Saccharomyces cerevisiae S288C: one gene and its partner. Changing the gene in region 1 together with any one later gene gives a genetic interaction. Each region holds a gene or a part of one and is shown in the gene's direction. Other genes may lie near its edges.

Region 1 (4,816 bases):
AAATAACGCAAAACGTGGCTCCTATAGAATTATTGACGATGATCCTGACGTTTTCTCCCCAGTTGAAAGATGAGCCAGAACTAGACATATCCTGGAGCAAGACATTTAGATCTTTTATCGACTATTGTTTAAAAAAAGATGCCAGAGAGAGGCCTTCTCCCAGGCAAATGTTAAAGCATCCCTGGATTGTAGGGCAAATGAAAAAAAAAGTCAACATGGAACGGTTTGTAAAGAAATGCTGGGAAAAGGAAAAGGATGGGATATAAACTTCCAACATTTTCCTCTCGTAACCAGAACTGACTTTTTCTACAACAGGAATTCTTTAACGAGACTTCTCCTCCTTCACCATTCATAAGTTTAACGATGTTCTTTTATTATCTAGACACTCCGAAATATTCTTAACATATACGTATATAGTTTACTGAAAACCGAACTAGCCATGGGCTATGAAAGTTCTCCTATTTCCTTACTTACATCAAATAGAAATGCGCATCCAAGTCTTTCTGGCAGGCACGCTATGATGTGCTAAATTATGACTCAAGTGAGTACTAGGCGCTTTTGTACTCAGCCGCGCGGGGAAAATTTCTTCCCTCCCTACCAAAGAGGAAAAAATCATATGGCGTCATATTATCCTATATACAACGGTCGAACAAAAATCTGCTCGACTCAGAAAAATAAAAGGGTTTTAACATACTTATTGCTTACTTAAGTTACCACTTCAGTAACTGGAGCTATAAATACAATAAGCGTTTTGTACGTAGAAAATATCCTCTATATTGCCTGATTTTCTTTAGTTCCGACAAGGGCTCCGACCACGGGACAACCCTTATGATTTCTGTTATAAGGCCTATTTGTTCTAGTTACGACGACACTTACTGCTGTCTCTTGACCGTTTTTGCTATACTCATCCTCTTACCATTAAAAAAATAAAGAAAATGGACTCGAGTAAAGATGAAACCATATCTCTTTAATCACAACATACTCACTCTATGGGAGATTCTATTCTCCTTAGGTTAGTAAATGGCATTATAAATTAGCAAGCGTAGCCTCTTCAGCCTATACATCAGCTGAACCTGCACAATTAATGTCATGTGGCCGACGTAATGCATATCCATCTTTTTTACTCCCTTAAAAGAAGGTTTAGCCCCTACTGTATACTCAATGAACAGATAATGTCTATCCATAAAGTATATCATTTCAGGAACCCTAAATAATAGTGCTATCGTTACATATACTTTTAAATTTCATATTGCATTAAAATGCCGCACACCTTTTATGTAAACAAAGCCGCACTTCCTAAAAAAGCAATTGAAAACAATCGAAAGAATGAGTGTAGAACAGCAAAAAAGGTAAACAAGAGAAAAATTCTGAAACCCAGATCAACACCTGTTTCAACCCCTTCATCGATTTAAATATAATTCAAGTTCAGGTCATCGAGTAAATCTATAATAAATCAGATCACAAAATCTGGTACACTGCTGTTGCTGATCACGGTTCTTTTCATCTTTAACACATTTTCGCAGTTTTTTGACTGTGCCACATTTTGCATTAATTTGTTTCTTGTGACGTGTTTGCGAGAATTTTTTGATTGCTAATTAAACCTAACAATAATCGCTATTTTTTTTACCCATCCACAATACAAGAAAGGCGAGCCAAGCGGCGTTCAATATTCAATTGGCCATTACTTCTATATACTGATTTAGAGTGCCAAAAATTTAATGTCGTACACCAATAAACGTCATACATACTACGGAGGGTTTACCAACGATTTGTCTGACACATTTCAGTACCCTCAAAGAACAGATGAGCAAAGGCGGAAACATGTAACGTTTGGTCCTTATATCCTAGGGTCGACGTTAGGAGAAGGAGAGTTCGGAAAAGTGAAGCTAGGCTGGCCAAAGAATTTTTCAAACAGCTCTAATTCAACTTTTGACTTCCCAAAACAAGTAGCAATTAAACTTATCAAACGTGATAGCATATCGAATGATTACAGGAAAGAAGTTAAAATATACAGAGAAATCAACGCCTTAAAACACTTATCACATCCGAATATCGTAAAATTAGAAGAAGTGTTGCAAAATTCTAGGTACATTGGTATTGTCCTAGAGTACGCATGCGGGGGAGAATTCTATAAATATATTCAAAAAAAAAGGAGGCTTAAGGAAATGAATGCATGCAGGTTATTTTCTCAGCTAATAAGTGGAGTACATTACATACATTCTAAGGGACTTGTTCACAGAGATCTCAAATTGGAAAATCTATTACTAGACAAGAATGAGAACCTAGTTATTACAGATTTTGGGTTTGTCAATGAGTTTTGCTCACGAAACGAATTAATGAAGACGTCATGTGGCTCTCCATGCTACGCAGCGCCTGAACTAGTGATAAGCGCCGAACCATACGAAGCTAGAAAAGCAGATATATGGTCATGTGGAGTTATACTTTACGCTATACTAGCTGGATATTTACCGTGGGATGATGATCCAAATAATCCTGAAGGCAGCGATATAGGAAGACTTTATAATTATATTAACTCCACACCATTAAAGTTCCCTGATTATATTCTTCCTATACCTCGGGACTTATTAAGACGCATGCTGGTCTCAGACCCAAAGAAAAGAATAAACCTGAAACAGATCAAGAAACATGAATGGCTAAAGCCTCATTCTTCATTCTTATCCATAACACCTGATGAGTGGGACAAACTAAACAATACTCAATCCGTGTTCAGATTAGCAAAACCAAGAAGAAGATATGGATCTAGACCACAATCCAGTTGTTCTACCTCATCTCTTGGCTCAAGGAGTGATAAAAGGGATTCACTGGTCATTGATTCAACTTTAATTACTTTCCCGGCTCCGCCTCAAGAATCACAAAATCATATTATAACCAGACCGGCTTCTATTGCATCTGACCAGCGGCTGTCACCTATAAGAAGATCTAATAGGCACAATAGAAGTAACTCTGCTGCATCCGTTGCCTTGCAGGCAGTGGTGAACGCAGATAGGGAATATGTGTTAAGTCATGAACAATCATTATCCCCAGTACAAAACATTAGACAAACTACGGGAAACATGACTGCCAGTCTTTCACCTCCACCAGCCATAAGTCCAGGCGATATTATAATCGAAACCACACCTATTAAAAGAAATACAATTTCTGGGAGTAGTATTGTACCAAGTTTAGAAGAAGAGTCGTCTACCACAATGCAAACAAGCAAGATTCAACCAAATAACATGGCTTCATCACAAAATCATCAATACAATAAAAATAAGACCCAAAATAGTCTCCAATCTGCTAAAAATTTCTACCGTACGTCTTCCTCATCCCATACAAAGCCACGGCCAACTTCATACCATCCTGGCTCATACACAACACCTCCCTACAATTCAAATACGCTCTCCATATATGAGATCAACGAAAAAGCTAAAAGTAGCGCTTCATCACAAACGCTGAATCAAAGAGACACATCCCCATTTGATTCCACACCATACCTTGCCCTAGATACATGCATAACCTCATCCTCTTCCATCGAAAGCTCTCCAAAGTTAATTACGCACGGCCAATTTTCAGTAGCAAAACCCTCTGTTGATTTGCAAAGCGTATCTGGTGACTTGATCAAGTATAAGAGGGACGCTGATGTAGTAACGAGAATCTATGATGAAAAATACAAACAGAAGCGCAAAAGTTTGAGATATAGCGGCATATTCAGTGACATCTCATGCGATACGGTCACCGAAGAGTCTGATGAATTGAGGCCACCAGAATCTCCTCTTCAACAACATGAAGGACAAGAATCAATTGATAAGGCGAAAACGGAGGACACAAGTGAAAAGGGTAGTAAAAGTAGCAACATCGCGAAAGCTACAGCACAAAAACACGTCAATAACCATCTAGAAAGATCACTTAACGAAGCAGAGTCAACAAAGAAAAGATTTAGCTTTCTTTCCTTGTACTCTTATGATACTTCCAAATCTAGTTTATACTCATCAATGGATTCCAAACGGAAACCTTCTCCACCTTCCCAAAGACGCCCAAAAAAGGATGACAGTTATCAAACAAATTCAAAGAATCATTATATCACTGCTTCAAATATGCAAACATCCCATCAAGTCTCAAAAGACCTGCCTGCACCAACGATGGTGCAAAATAAATGTACTTTAGAAACTAAAAAAGCGGTCCGAAGCAACAGGTCCTCCATAATGGTATCTGAGGTCAACAAGGCAAGCGTAGACAATAAAGCAGCCCAAAGTCCAGAACATTCAACCGCAAAAAGAGTATTAGGGTTTTTCAAAAGAAGAAGTATGAAAATCTAGAGATAATACCTATCTCATTTGACAATAATATCCACTTATCATATGAAAAAATCAGTACTATCTGCAATTTTTCCATTTAAAATGTCTGTCGCTAAAATTTTGCGATTTGCCAGACCAACAAAATAATGTTATAATATACTTTATGAAATTTCAATCTAATAAACATTGAGCATATATATGCATATACCTACCATATATATTTTGCATTACTAAAAACATCAAAAATTTTTCTAAATTGTTACTTATTATCAATCATAGCTTCACTCCGCTTGAATCACGTCTTCTAAGCGGGAACATTGTTTCACTGCGCTTACAGCGAGATTCGCAGACATTTTAAGTAAGAAGACAATTTCTTTTGCCTTTTGTACGGAATTAATTTTAAAAATTATACTATATATATATTAGTCTTTTCTATTCTCAAAATATAATAATATTAATAGTAATAAAAGAGAAAATAACGATGTTTAATAGAGTACTTATACAATCAACAAATTTAGATG
Region 2 (5,183 bases), on another chromosome or scaffold:
ATGATTCATAGTGGACAGAAAGATCACCATTTTGAATGATGGGTCGTGGCAAATTAATACTGATAGAAGGATTGGATAGGACTGGTAAAACCACGCAATGTAATATTCTTTACAAAAAATTGCAACCAAACTGTAAACTATTGAAGTTCCCCGAAAGGTCTACCCGAATCGGAGGACTCATAAACGAATATTTGACGGATGATAGTTTCCAATTATCAGATCAGGCAATTCACCTCTTGTTTTCGGCAAATAGATGGGAAATAGTTGACAAGATAAAGAAAGATTTACTAGAAGGCAAGAACATTGTCATGGACAGATATGTTTATTCTGGAGTGGCATATTCTGCCGCTAAGGGGACAAATGGAATGGATTTGGATTGGTGCTTGCAACCCGATGTAGGGTTGCTGAAACCGGATTTGACATTATTTTTAAGCACTCAAGATGTCGACAATAACGCCGAAAAATCTGGATTTGGTGACGAAAGATACGAAACTGTTAAGTTTCAAGAAAAAGTGAAGCAAACTTTTATGAAGCTATTGGATAAAGAGATAAGGAAAGGCGATGAGTCAATCACGATTGTAGACGTTACTAATAAGGGCATTCAGGAAGTTGAAGCGCTTATTTGGCAAATCGTTGAGCCTGTTTTGAGTACGCATATTGATCATGATAAATTTTCGTTCTTCTAGGAGGATCTGTACATATATCCTAGTCTAGTCTATCTAAAATACTTAGTCTTTCTAACAGCATATCCTTTGAAATTTCTTGTATTTCCCCTCCAATAAACATCTCGTCCATTATCATATAGACTTTGTAAAAGTTGAATACGATATCCAGTTCACAGACATTGCCGAAAAATGCATCTAGCACCTCCACAAACAGATGGATGTGGCACAAATATATGGGTTCATCGTCAAGTAAGTCCACACCCATGACAAAATACAGACCCGCATACCTCCTGTATATGAGTTTCGTCGAATCGGAAAACTCTACGAAGTTACTCTGATGCTTATGATCTCTGGAAGATATGAGTCTATAAATCTGCGCAATGGCATCCTGGCTACGCTGAGGATCCGAACTGTGTACATCGAACCATCTCACCAACCGCACCACACCCTGCTTATTAAAGCACAGTATAAACTGTACTGCCATTTTTTTTATCCCTTACAGCAAACAAGTCTCCGTTCTTCACAAAATAACAGCACCAAACGCTATCTCAAGGCAAACGTTCTTAATGTACCTACTGAATAAACCATTCCTCCCCGTTTGTATCAAAAGTATCCGAAACTGTTCTATGCGTGCAAAATGATATGTCTTGCAAAACTATTGGAAAGACCCTTCCACTACAGGTACAGTTTAGAAATGCCGGAGCTGCAAGTACTACGTGCCGGCAGCATGATAAACATACCCGCGTCCTATAGCCATTCAAGCCTACATATATGGTATATACAACATGAACGCTTTAGTACGGTCACCCCATCTACAAGCATAACCTCTTGGGCAAAGGCGCAAATAGTTGCCACGTGCGAGTGCGGTGCATGGGTGGCTGTCTTTTCGTCATTGGCACGACCCCTTGCAGGTGGGAGGTAGAACCAAATAATATCCGGTTGACGGTAAAAGCAGGTTTATATATAGTGTTAAAGAAAGGTATTGTCACATCCCGTCGCTACCCTTATCCAAACCACGATATCGCACGCACACCAGGAAAGTAAAGTTGTGTAAGCCGTAGCAGTTTTTTACAGGTTAACCGATTGAATAAGATAATGGCGGGAAACGGTAAGGACAAAGAGGTAGATAAAAGTCCCTCTGTTAGTACTTTGAAACTATTGGGAAAACGCCTGTTTAATTCCAGCAGTCACACGGATAACTCTTCGTTACTGCTTAGTGCCGAACAATTGGGCAATGGGAGAAGTTTAAGAAAAAGGCCAACGTCTCCGTCCATTAGTGGCAGTGGTAGCGGTGGTAATTCACCTTCGTCTTCTGCTGGGGCACGGCAGAGATCTGCTTCTTTACATAGAAGAAAAAACAATGCTTCTGTAGGATTTTCAAATGGGTCTGTGTCGTCACACAAGTCCTCTGTCGCATTGCAGGACTTAATTAAACATAATAATAACCCTTACTTGAACTCTCCCTCTGATATTCTGGGCACAGGTACTGGCATTGCCTCGACAAGAGATAGGGATAGAGCAGTTTTGGATAGAGAAAAGGAAAAAGAAAGGGCGAGAAACAAAGAAAGAAATACTCATCACGCGGGCTTACCGCAAAGGTCTAATAGCATGGCTAGTCACCATTTTCCCAACGAGAATATAGTTTATAATCCATACGGCATAAGCCCAAACCATGCTAGGCCAGATACTGCATTTGCAGACACTCTGAATACGAATAAGGAGAACGATTTGAGTTTTTACATGCATGATGGTAACAGCAAGATACGGATGTTGCCCCTTCCAATTGCTAATCCGAACGATTTTTTGCCCGAAGATATGAAACAATATAGTGTCCATTTAACGGATAATTTCGTATTTGATACGGACAATAAACCTATTGGTTCGGGTGGGTCTAGTGAAGTTAGAAAGGTTAAATCAAGTTACAGGCAAAAGGATGTTTACGCTCTAAAAAAACTGAATATGATATACCACGAGTCACCCGAGAAGTTTTACAAGAGATGCTCCAAAGAATTCATCATAGCTAAGCATTTAAGTCATAACGTTCACATCACGAATACTTTTTATCTTCTAAAAGTTCCCACGACCACATATACAACTCGTGGTTGGGGGTTTATTATGGAACTAGGTGTTAAGGACCTCTTCCAACTGATGGAAAGAACAGGCTGGAAGAACGTTCCCTTCAATGAAAAATATTGTCTTTTCAAACAAGTGGCCCAAGGTATTAAGTTTTGTCATGACAATGGTATTGCTCACCGTGATTTGAAGCCCGAAAATGTTTTAATTTCTAAAGAAGGTATATGCAAATTGACGGATTTCGGTATTTCTGATTGGTACCATGTGATACCTCATGACTACACTAGTCCAGTGAAAACATGCCAAGGTATGATTGGCTCTCCACCATACACTCCGCCAGAGGTAATGTACTTCGATGCCAAGAAGCACTACCCCGAAAAGTTCCAAAAACCCTATAATCCGTTGGCCATGGATTCCTATGCCCTCGGAATCATGCTGATTACCATGATTAACAATATCATCCCCTTCATCGATTCTTGTAACACTGATGCGAGATTCAGGGAATTTGAAGTGTCATATGACAACTTCATCAATCATCAAAACCCACATTTCAGGGACAAGGGCTGCCACAAGCCGGGTCCTGGTTCCGAATACTCTTTAGCAAGAAATTTCAAGAATACTGATGCCACGCGTATCGCATGGAGATTGGCTGACCCGAACCCTGCAACTAGATATACAATGGATGATTTATTTAATGATCCGTTTTTCCAACAAATTGAAACATGTGTCGAGCCAAATGATGATGACTTAGTAAGGGTTCCTGAATTAAGGAAAAGTACTTCTACCAATGATTTTAGTGAAAATTCATTAGATGCACCCCATGATCAAGAGGTCATTCACACGTCTAATCCATTCCTAAAAAAGGAAACGCTCACTTCTAAACCAAGATCGATGTTGGAAATTGCAGAATCTCCTTCCTTGAAACAAAAATCCAAGGTAAAAGATAGCGCAAAGACCAAAACACACGATGTTGGGGATGAAGGGGGGAATGAAAGCACCAAACCTAAGCAGCAAGATAAAAAGGAAAATTTGAAGAAAGATGAGGTCAAGAACGGCGACAAGGACAAAGTCATTGAAGAGGCTACCACGACTAATGTGGACAGCATATTGGAAAAACCAACACCAACCTCCACAAAAGTAGAGGACAACTTAAGCGAAGATGATTCCACAATGAAGGAATTAAAGTCGATGCTAAACTCCACCCCTACTACACCAACACATAATGGCCCCACTCCGCTCCCTGCAAAGGCTGGCACTCAATTAGATAAGCGTATGAGCGACCTATCACTCAAATCGGAAACACCGGCTTCTACAAAGAACTTTAGCGCACCGAATGTTTCGTCATCAAGCAATTCACTGAGAAGCCTCGGAAGTCCAAGCGTGTCATCCTCGAAAAAGAAGAAGGTAATTCACCACCACTTGGACATTACCAACAGCGTTACAAACATGTCATCCGTGAGCGCCTTTATCTCAAGATAGACGTTAGGACTTCTTTAATTCCCTCTTTTATGCTTTAGTATCGTCATATTCTTTCATACCCTTCCTTATAAGCTTTTTATATAAAATATCCCACCGGGAAAAGATAAAGAACGGAAGATAAATCAAACAATGAAATAAAGCACACACATATAAATCCACATATGTACTTATATATTTTACTTCAAACAATAAACAAACATTTTATTATTTATTTTTCCCGTACATCGATGTACGTGATCGGTTTTTCTCATTCCTCTCGGATCCTTCGGGACCACCATGTCTCACCCACCAAGGTCAAAAAAAAAATAAAATCGGACGAGAAAAGTATTGGGCAAACAACAATTATCCACGTGCTTATCACGTTTTTTTATTTAATGTAGAATGTAAACCATTATACCTTAAAGATAAACACTTTGTTAATTAATCATTTTAGTTGGCGGTCATTTTCATTTCTGCTACAAGTACCAACATCAAGTGCTTAAAATATAATACGGTTTTCTACACTTTTATTAACGATGAACTCTCTGGCAAATAATAATAAGCTTTCTACTGAGGATGAGGAAATCCATTCGGCAAGAAAAAGAGGCTATAACGAGGAGCAGAACTACAGCGAGGCCAGGAAAAAGCAAAGAGATCAAGGCTTGTTGTCACAAGAGAGCAATGACGGAAATATTGACTCTGCTCTGTTGAGCGAAGGGGCTACGCTAAAAGGGACTCAAAGTCAGTATGAAAGCGGACTGACGTCTAACAAAGATGAGAAAGGAAGTGATGACGAAGATGCGTCAGTGGCTGAGGCTGCTGTTGCCGCTACCGTCAATTATACAGACTTAATCCAGGGCCAGGAAGATAGTTCTGATGCCCACACATCTAATCAAACGAACGCGAATGGTGAGCACAAGGATTCCCTTAATGGGGAAAGAGCCATAACCCCATCAAATGAAGGAGTCAAGCCAAACACCTCCCTGG

Evidence for each region. Genes that interact genetically often act in the same process or in processes that back each other up.
Region 2: mutations in FRK1 (region 1) and PTK2 together harm fitness more than expected from each alone (negative genetic interaction), as found in Saccharomyces cerevisiae (3 studies listed by BioGRID).

Annotation. Positions count from the first base shown.
Region 1 is NC_001148.4:282,964-287,779, reverse strand, and holds FRK1 (protein kinase FRK1), read left to right. Parts: upstream 1-1,718; coding exon 1,719-4,316; downstream 4,317-4,816. Other genes in the region: putative mitogen-activated protein kinase kinase MKK2, read left to right, coding at 1-266; 60S ribosomal protein eL33 RPL33A, read right to left, coding at 4,810-4,816. UniProt on the Saccharomyces cerevisiae protein: Putative serine/threonine-protein kinase that may be involved in rRNA transcription and ribosome biogenesis.
Region 2 is NC_001142.9:544,027-549,209, forward strand, and holds PTK2 (protein kinase PTK2), read left to right. Parts: upstream 1-1,760; coding exon 1,761-4,217; downstream 4,218-5,183. Other genes in the region: CDC8 (bifunctional thymidylate/uridylate kinase), read left to right, coding at 36-686; APS2 (Aps2p), read right to left, coding at 706-1,149; CBF1 (Cbf1p), read left to right, coding at 4,733-5,183. UniProt on the Saccharomyces cerevisiae protein: Essential determinant for high-affinity spermidine transport. Required for the activation of the plasma membrane proton pump PMA1 via phosphorylation of 'Ser-899'.